Linked DNA regions of Mus musculus: regions 1 and 2 are each reported to be linked to region 3. Evidence: microRNA targets listed by miRTarBase, many of them from high-throughput screens and not tested one by one. Region 3 holds a microRNA gene; each other region holds the end of a gene's coding sequence.

Region 1 (3,297 bases), not on the chromosome of region 3:
CTGTAACCCCAGCTCAAGATTCCAAGGTCCTCTTTTAGACTCACACACACACAAATAAAAATAGACCTAAAAAATGAATGGTTCAGCAGTCAAACACAGATCACTTTTCAACTTGGCCTTCCTTTAAAAGAAAATGTTAGCACCTTTAACACAGCACTCAGGAGGCAGAAACTCATCTGCTCTACATAATGAGTTCCAGGAAAGCCCAAGTTCAAGGCCAGTCTGAACTAGAGACACTGCCTAAAAAGGTAGGGTGGGGAAGGCAGGGTGAGGAGGGGAGGGAAGGAAGAAGGGAAGGCCAGAGAGACTGACTACTGCTGGCTGGCTGGCTGGCTGGCTGGCTGGCTGGCAGGAAGGCAGTCATGCAGAAAGATGAATCAGCTGGTAGTCTTTACGTGGGATTGTAGGGCACCATCCTCCCAGCACAACAGACATCCATCAGTTTAAAGGTCAGAGGAGGCTAGCTGGTCGAGTGCTACTCTGGCGTGTGTGAGACCCTGGGGACCCCGTGGTCCAACCCCAGTGCCATTCATTACTACTGTTTTTTTTTTTTTTTTTTTAAGATTTATTTATTATATGTAAGTACACTGTAGCTGTCTTCAGACACACCAGAAGAGGGCGTCAGATCTTGTTACAGATGGTTTGTGAGCCACCATGTGGTTGCTGGGATTTGAACTCCGGACCTTTGGAAGAGCAGTCGGGTACTCTTACCCACTGAGCCATCTCACCAGCCCTCATTACTACTATTCTTAAACCCTATTTATTTATTTATTTATTTATTTGTTTTTCGAGACAGGGTTTCTCTGTGTAGCCCTGGCTGTCCTGGAACTCACTTTGTAGACCAGGCTGGCCTCGAACTCAGAAATCCGCCTGCTTCTGCCTCCCTGGGATTAAAGGCGTGCGCTACCACCACCTGGCTCTCTTTATTTTTTAGGACTTATTTTTTTTTAAGTATTTATTTGAAGTCTATATGCTAGGTTGTGAGGGTTTTCCAGGGGCCAGAAGGCGGCGTCAGATGCCTAGGAACTACAGGGAGTTACTGAAGCTGTGAGCTACCTGGCATGGGGCTGGTAAAGTTTATTTATCAACACTCTCTCTTGGGCTCCAAAGCACCCCACGAACACATAACTAAAGATAAAATCTTTTTTTTAAGGCGTCCATGTAAGCAGGCTGGAGGAGCAGGCCTGCAATCCCAGTTAACCAGAGGCAGGAAGATGGGAAATCTGAGGTTGGCCTGAGCTACAAACTGGGCTCAAGGCCTCGATGCTTTTTCTAGGGGGTGGAGGGCAGGAAGGAGGCAGGTCTAGATCACCTGAGTCCTCATCCTCTCTTGTCCCTCGATGTCCATCTCCTGCCAGGTGACTCCTTAGCTTTTCTGGTGACAAGTACCACCTGATGCTCATGGCAATCCAGGTGAGGCTGGGTGTGGGGGCCGAGTGTGGGGTGTGGGCCACACTCTGGAGGCTGCAGCAGGAGGCCTGCCACATCTGGCTAGCCTTGAAGACACAAGAGCTGGGGCTCTAGCTCATGTGTTTGCTTAACACATACACAGCCTCAGCTTCAGTGTGCTTATGGAAACACTTTCTGTTCATTCTTTCCAAAAACCTAAAACTGTTTTAATAAATCAACATTTTAGGCTGGAAATGTGGCTCAGTAATACAGTGTTTGCTTAGCTTGCAGGAAGCCCTGGGTTCCATCCCCAGCACTGCAGACACAGTAGTGCACACCCGTAATCTCAACGGGCTGGAGGGGAGGGAAGAGAGTCATGAGCTGGAGACTACCTGAGCTATATAAGACCCTGTCTTTAAGACAAACAGATAGTAGGGCTTACTTTTAAAAACTACACCACACAAAAAATGTTACTAGGGCCGGGTGTGGTGGCGCACGCCTTTAATCCCAGCACTGGGGAGGCAGAGGCAGGCGGATTTCTGAGTTCGAGGCCAGCCTGGTCTAAAAAGTGAATTCCAGGACAGCCAGGGCTATACAGAGAAACCCTGTCTCGAAAAACAACAAAAAACAAAACAAAAAAAGTGTTACTAGGAAGAGTCCTACAGCAAGACTGTAACATAAGATGGCCTGCTGGGTCTTTGCCATCCAAATAGGAATCTAGCCTGGGTTGTCAGCAGAAAGCCAAACCCAACACTGATACAACCCCAACAGAAAGGCGTTTCATACAGAAAGGAGGCCAGGACTCTAAGCCTACAGGCTGTTCCACCTTGGATGTCTCTCCACAACAGTTTTGAAGCAGAAGTGCTTGAAAAGTCTGTCTCCATCTTGGATTTTTAAGTTCAACAGAGAATTGTGAGAATTCCCACCATTCTCAACAGCTGGCCTCAGCTTCAGTATGAGCACAATGCATATGAGAGCAAGCTGTCAGCAAGGGGCTGGTACCTGTCCCTACAAGTTGGCAATAGCTGGTGATGGGAGGCAGGCCACTATGCCATTCTGTCCTCACATCTGTAATTTTAATCCATTGGCAACAAACTGAAATTCAGAGGTATGGTCAAGGAGAAAGTGTTATCATTCGAAGAACCAGGAAATGACAACATGAGCTTTCCACGAGCTTCAGCAAGAGAAAGGCACACTTTCGCGCGCGCGCACGCGCACACACACACACACACACACACACACACACACACACACACACACGTAAGTGACGGGGGGGGGGGGGGGCATATGCTTTGCAGCAGCAGCAGGAAGGCAGGGAGGAGTGGCTTAGACAACCGAGGATCCAGTTCCCAGGGTCCAGACGGCTGGCTCAACCAAAGCGAATCTCTTCAAGAAACTTTTGTGATGTTCCTGAGACCCATATGGGGGTAAACTGTTCTTAGAGGGTCCCAGCGCTAAGGAATATTCCTGTGTAAATCTTCCACCTCCAGTTCCCACATGCTTTCGTGGACAGGATTGTCAGAAAGATCCGTCATCTTCACGGCCTGCAGGCAGGGCTCAGGACTGCAGGCCTGAACCACCCCCATCACCATCACATACTTTCCTGGGAAGAGAAGAGAAGGATGGTGATGTTCATACTAACAAGGCAGGTGGGAAAAACCAACAGAGACCCCGACCTTGGGGCCTTTATCAGAGAAGGAAGGTCGAGACAGAAACCTTGTCTAGGGCTAGGGAGATGAAGCTTGTAGGCAAAGCTCAGGCCTGGTTGGTAAAAGGCTTGCCAAAGCTTGTGGACCTGAGTTCAGAGGCCCAGCATCCATGCAGAAAAAGCATGGCAGGGTGGCATGCATATGTATGTGATCAGTGTTAACGAAAGGAAGACAGGCCGATCCTTGGGGCTCTATGCCC
Region 2 (3,000 bases), not on the chromosome of region 3:
TAAACAGTGGGACGTAATATCCTTGGCTTTGGTTGTTAGGTTTTGAGAAGAGACTGGCCCTTGCCTGGGAGAACTCAGTCAAACAGGGTTGGCCAGTCCTCTCTGTAACAGGAAGCATTTCTTTTCTCTTGCAGGTATTCTACTTCCTGTTGAGTGCCCTCGGCCTGATGGTCTGCATGCTGGCTGTGGCCTTTGCCGCCCACCACTACTCCCTGCTTGCGCAGTTTACCTGCGAGACCTCCCTGGATTCTTGCCAGTGCAAGCTGCCTTCCTCGGAGCCGCTCAGCAGGGCCTTTGTTTACAGGGATGTGACTGACTGTACCAGCGTCACTGGCACTTTCAAATTGTTCTTAATCATCCAGATGGTCCTAAACCTGGTCTGTGGCCTCGTGTGCTTGCTGGCTTGCTTTGTGATGTGGAAACACAGGTACCAGGTCTTTTATGTGGGTGTTGGGCTGCGCTCCCTGATGGCTTCTGATGGCCAGCTACCAAAGGCCTAACAGGTTGGCTCAGAGGGAGACAAGCTCAGAAACGGCACACCCACTGACTAGGCAAGGTGAAAAAAACCACAATTTTGTAAAGGCAAACTTTTGACAACGAATACTTTTTCATTCTCTAAATGTGTATTTTTAGATTTTTTTTTCAGAAAACAAAACAACTTGTTTTTTGGATCTCTATTGTACTTTTTAAAAACTTCTTGTGAGGACAGGGGTGGAGAGACGGCTTACAAGTGAAGAGGACTTGCTGCTCTTGCGGAGGACTCGGGTTCAAGCTCAGTTCCGGAGCCCAAGTTCAGTGGCTCACAGTTACCTGTACCTCCAGCTCCGGGGACATTGGGAGCACACGCATGCGCACACGCGTGATTTAGAGAATCTAACCTATTTTTAAAGTTCTAATGAGAAACAAGATTCAAATTGACTTGGTGAACACCGAAAGGAAAAGAACACCAGACAGGGAAGAGATGACCTAGAGCCAGCGCTAGCTCTGGTGTTTATCCCAGCCGCCCTTACATCCTCACCCTCCTCCGCCTTCCCGTTAGTCCAGTGCGATGGTGTGAACTGGCATCACCCATAGACTCTAGAGTCTTCCGGCTCCTCTACCACCTGCCATTATCCCCGTGGTGTCTTGGGAAAGGTCTAAGGAAAGCTGGATCTCAGTTGAGTGCTTTTATGTTTTCACAGTGGAGATGTCTTCAAGGCATGAAATGGCTTTAAAAAAAAAAAACTAGTTGAACAGGAAGGCTGAGTGATTCTGAACACCTGGGCTGGGGTGCAGACTTCCGGTTGCCTTAGCTCCGATCCACGAGTGGGCTGCAGCCTCCGTGAGGTCTGATTCACCATAATTGAAAGGTGGTGCTGTTGCATTCTTAACGACGAGGAAAGTTTAAAAATAATTATATTATGCCTCTAGTCTGTCATCTAAAACAAATCATTAAGACTAATTTCCAGCTAATTGTTCATTATAATTATGCTCAGGATTCTGTTTAATGAGCTCTGGCTGTTCTTAGGCAGCACCGTTGGTGTTAGGAAAAATTACAGCCACAAGGGAAGATGGCTGAAGATCCACTTTCCTGGAAATCATCCACTGCAAAAAATGATCTTGTAAAACATTGAAACACTCTCAGAGGGGAAACAACCAAGAGCATTTGTCACAGGAAATGCTTATATTAACAACACATTTGTGATATTGAAAAGTATCTCCCAGGACCACCAAGTACCTTTGATGGGATTGGGTACTAAGTCCTGTCATACACATGGACTTCCTGGGAAATCCTAGTAATGAGGGCTTTTACAATTGACCTAGAGACAGAATGTCTCAAAGCCCTTGTTTGGGTGATACGTCCACAGTTAGGGTATTCAGTCTCAGTTTAGAGTTAAGACATGGTACTTGGTTAAGACAGACTTTGCTATGTAATTGGGTAAAATTCCACCAAAAGGAATGGGGTGGTGGTGGCACATGTCTTTAATTCCGGCACTTGGGAAGTAGAGGCAGGTGTATTTCTGTGAGTTGAAGGCTAGCCTGGTCTACAAAGAAAGTTCTAGGACAGCCAGAGCAGAGAGAGAAACCCTGTCTTGAAAAAAACAAAACTTAACAAACAAAAACAAGAAAAAAAAAGGGGGGGGGACTGCTTTCAGACAAAATTGCATGAATGCCACAGTAAGCTTCCTGGTACTAACCTGGGAAACCTTTAGTGTTTGTTAAGAATAACCAGCTCCGGGCTGTGGAGATGGCTCAGTTATCAAAGTCCTTGCCATCCCAGTAAGAACCTGATCCCATGTAAAACAGCCAGGCACAGGTGTGTGCTTGTGATCCTGGCATTGCAGAGGCAGAGACAGGCAGATCCCTGGGGCTCCTTCACCAGCCATCTTTAGTGTAGTGATTAACTTCAGGTCCATGATGAGAGAGTTTGTCTCAAGAAAAAAACCAACACTAAAAATAACCCGGAGTGGATAGCTGGCCCCTGGCCTTCCCATGAATGCACACACACAGTTAAGAGTAACCAATCTCACGCTGACTTTCGATAGTTTTCTATAAAACATGGTACATGGTAGAGAATCCAGGATGTCACGGGCTGTCCTTTCAAAGTGACGCTGTTTTCACGCCTGTTACTGTGCACCCAGCCCTGCTGGAAGCACACACAGAATGCCTTTGTCCAACAAACTCAACAGGTTTTTGTTTTTGTTTTTTAAATGAGGAAATTAAGATTCCCCCACACAGTTAAGTTGCTCTAAGCTTTACAAACGTATGCTTTACAAACAACTCACGGGGGGGGGGGGCATTTTAAAGGGTAGAGCAATTTTAGCCTGTGGGTTTCTTACTTTTCTAACACAACCAAGGCTTGGGGTGGTTCCAGCTTATAATATTCTGTCTGCATAAGATGGGGATTTTACTATTATGATCAAATTATTAACTTCCCAAAGAGGAGGAGGCACTGTAAGTGAAGAGAAGGAGCAGAGCCGGGTGGCAGGACCCTGTGCTGGGAGCTTACGATATGCTGGT
Region 3 (3,347 bases):
GGAATATCCAAGGAGCATCTCGAAGGAGCTGCAGGGCTCATCCAAGGCTCACACAAGGCAGGCAGTCTCATATCGCTTGTGCAGGGGGCCCTTCAAAAAAGCAGAGTTTGATAGTCAAAAGGAAGCTAACTGTGTCTCGTTCACAATAAGCAAACAGAACATGAATGACCTCAAATATTCTCAGAGATCTCTGACAGGAAAACCGGGGCCTCTTGTCTACTGTCCTCTCTCCTTCCAGAAGATTCTTCCAATGACAAATTGAATTCCTAGACTCTGAGAGGTGAATTCCCATAGTCTGTAAGAAAGCACATGAGCTGACAGCAACCACTCACTGCTACACATTGGTCCTAGGGCTAAAATCTGGTCTGACGGAAAAACTCATTCCCACAAGAGCTTCCTAAGGCAGGTCAATTTAGAAACAAAATGGAAGTCTATCTGGTCCTCCCTGAGAGGTAAGCTGGATGGCAAGAAGCCAGCAGCTGGCCGAATATCATGGAAGGGCAATGGCACCATGGGCATTACCTCTCTCGATAACGTCGAGGGTTGCTGGTAGATACGACAGATAGGACTCCTCCTTCCCCAGAAGCTGTGGTTCCAGAACTGTGCTCCTTACAATTGACTGGAAATGGAGAGTTACAGAGTCAGATGGTCTCAGTCACCAATAACCTGGTGCTGACAAGTCCTGCTGTTGGCTGACATAGGCAGCCCCTCCTTGAAGTAGCTCTTATATCTGGGAAGCCCATAGAGGCATGCTTTGATTTGAAAGAATAATCAATAATCAATAATGGTGTTTGTACAGCAGGTGGCCTTTCACAACTGACCACAGTTTGATCATCAAAAGGTAGCATATTGGCTCAATGCTCACTCATGATGGATAATGCGGGGTGGATGGAGGAGATGGAGCACACACACTACAAGGAACATGCAACATCACCTCCAGCCCCCAGTGGCTACATGTGTTGTCCACGGACCGGCAGCATTAGCATCACTTGAGAGCTTGCTAAAAATGCAGAATCTTGGCCCCTCAATCAGACTCTGCTTTTTAACAAGATCCCTAGGTGACGAATATCTTAGCAGCGTTGAGCAGTTTGAGAGGCCCTACACTAACCAACAATTTGTACAAGCATGCATGCAGGCACACACACACACACACACACACACACACACACACACACACACACACCAGATTATGGAATGAGCTGAAATGGTATGCTATTGACCAGGTATGTCTAAGAAAAAGTCAGCCCAAAGGAAGCCATAGGAACAGATAGAGAGTGACTTAAGGCAGCGGCGGCGGCAGGAAGTATCCTTATTAACACCTGTATTAACCACAGGAAGTCTATGCTCAGAATGGATGCTGAGGAGAGTGGGTGCTGGACCTAGAAGACCCTGGCCAAGTTCTGTCTACCTAAAGAGATGCTTGACCCAGTACCTTCTCAAGGAGTTCCTCTGAACTAAGACTTAACAGCAACAACAGACAGGTGAGTTATTCTCAGTGTTCTCCAGACCAAGCACAAAGAAGCAAGCCACCAAAGCTGTTGCCACCTCAAAGCTGTCACTGTGAGAGTACATGGGGGGGGGGGTGCCTTCTGAGGTTACTCTGCCTCAATAAATTCTCCCTCTCCTGCAGCAGGTACCAATGTCCATTAGCTGAAGTCACCACTGTGCTCTAGGACCTTCGGAAGCAAATCCAGATATGGGGCAAACAATGGTCGTCCCAATTAATCTCCATAAATATGGCGAGCACACTATTGATAGCCACCCTGCAAATGTCAGAGAACCACCGCACCGAGAAAAACCGCAGGACCTCCTCTCACGATCCAGACCAGACAGCTCGCCGGCCTCTGTCATTCAAGCACATGCTTGTGGAACCAGTCACACTCTTGAGCAAGGGGCCGGGGCCTGACCCCAGTGACTATCTGTGAGATTGGCTGCCCATCCAAAAAAAAAAAGAACGATTTGCCAAGTCATGAAAACTGTGCTATCTCACCATGACCAAGCCACGTAGGAACCCCTGGACTCTTCAAGCAAGATCCTGACTTGGGATCAGAGTGTAGCTCTTACACATCAGTTCTGTGCTCTCTTGCCTTGTGCCCAGGTAAGGCTAACCCATGCATCATGCACCAGGCACCTCTTTAAACAACCGTCTCGTCATCCCGGAAGTCCACCAGGGCAGTATTTGATACTCAAAAAGAAATTATCCTTGTATGATTCATCCAAAAGAGCCAACACACCAAGGATAATTTCTCCTCAAGTATGAAACAGTAGCACAGCAGGAATACCAGCATCCATAGGCCTCTTGGGAGTGATCACCACTCCTCACACGTGGCTGCACCCAATACATACATGCACCATGCATGCAGTACTACTGATGGCCATTCTAAGCACCAGGGAGGTGAGAGGCTATAGAAATGACTCCCCAGGACTCAGCATGACAACCTCACGTTAGCCTCTTCTAAGGGTAATGGTGGCTGGGGTCAAGAAGCCAGGCAGTGTCCATCTTAAGTGGAGCAAGCATTGTGGGTGGCCCTGCTGACCCCCGGCATGGGGTCTTCTGTTCTAGAAGCTGCTACAGAAATGATGTCACTGCCGAGTCACAAGCACCACCTTGTAAGTCCAGCACAAACTCTAAGCTCCAACACCCACTCACATGACTGACAGAGAATGTCTGTCTCAACATGGGCTCCCAAATCCAAGGAGAGGTTTGTATATCACCATCATAGCTGCCAGCAGTCAGCTCCCAGCAGACAAAAGTTTGGGCTGGCACATGGTCAATAATGAGCCTAGTCCCTACAAGAGCCTGATCTCTCCCAGCCCCCGAGAGCCATATGCATTGGACCCCAAGAGGACTCGCGAGTGACACACGAGACAAGGAGCATAACACGGCGACACCCTTGTCCAAGGATGTGTGATGGGAAGTGGCAGTGGCAGGATCCAGGCGCAGGAAGCCAGGCTGCAGAGTCTGCGCACTTGATACTGAAAAAGTGGATGACCCTGTACGATTCGGCATGAGTGAAGCGAAGAGGACAGGGATAACCACTCTCCAAGTACCAAAGCTCGGCCTGGAAAGCAAAGCCACCGCCTCAGGTAGACGTGCTACGTCTTCCAGGTAGGGTCCTGGGGACGAATTAGACGCTGAGCGTTAGCAGACTGGGTCACACACACCAAGCAAGAACATGCACACTTGGGTACCACGGCACGGCAGCACATCAAAAAACAACGGCCCACACCAGCACAGACCTGACCATCAGCCTGGGAAAGCAGGGACCCAGGCTACACACAGAGAGCATGCTTTGGGACCAACCCATATGGACAAGGAGAGGGGATGTACCCGAGGTCTTTCCTGA

What was found. Region 3 holds the annotated microRNA mmu-miR-544-5p (UCUUGUUAAAAAGCAGAGUCU, at 1,031-1,051, opposite strand). A microRNA usually pairs through its seed, bases 2 to 8, with sites in the 3' UTR of a target mRNA and lowers its output. Matches are read on the target gene's strand: a 7mer-m8 pairs with bases 2 to 8, a 7mer-A1 pairs with bases 2 to 7 and ends in A, and an 8mer does both.
Region 1: miRTarBase lists Rmi2 as a target of mmu-miR-544-5p. Seed matches in the 3' UTR shown: 8mer at 627-634.
Region 2: miRTarBase lists Sspn as a target of mmu-miR-544-5p. Seed matches in the 3' UTR shown: 7mer-A1 at 902-908 and 7mer-A1 at 2,101-2,107.

Annotation. Positions count from the first base shown.
Region 1 is chr16:10,839,524-10,842,820 of GRCm38, reverse strand. Rmi2 (RecQ mediated genome instability 2) reads right to left here. Exons shown (of 2, transcript NM_001162932.1): 2 at 1-2,992. The coding sequence ends at 2,844. Among named protein-coding and RNA genes, the nearest start is that of Rmi2, 6.1 kb to the right of the region's middle.
Region 2 is chr6:145,960,996-145,963,995 of GRCm38, forward strand. Sspn (sarcospan) reads left to right here. Exons shown (of 3, transcript NM_010656.3): 3 at 135-3,000. The coding sequence ends at 500. Among named protein-coding and RNA genes, the nearest start is that of Gm32838, 6.4 kb to the right of the region's middle.
Region 3 is chr12:109,727,039-109,730,385 of GRCm38, reverse strand. It overlaps Mir544 (microRNA 544), which reads right to left and starts at 1,061; the gene lies at 984-1,061. Mir487b (microRNA 487b) reads right to left here and starts at 3,053; the gene lies at 2,972-3,053. It overlaps Mir539 (microRNA 539), which reads right to left and starts at 2,257; the gene lies at 2,184-2,257.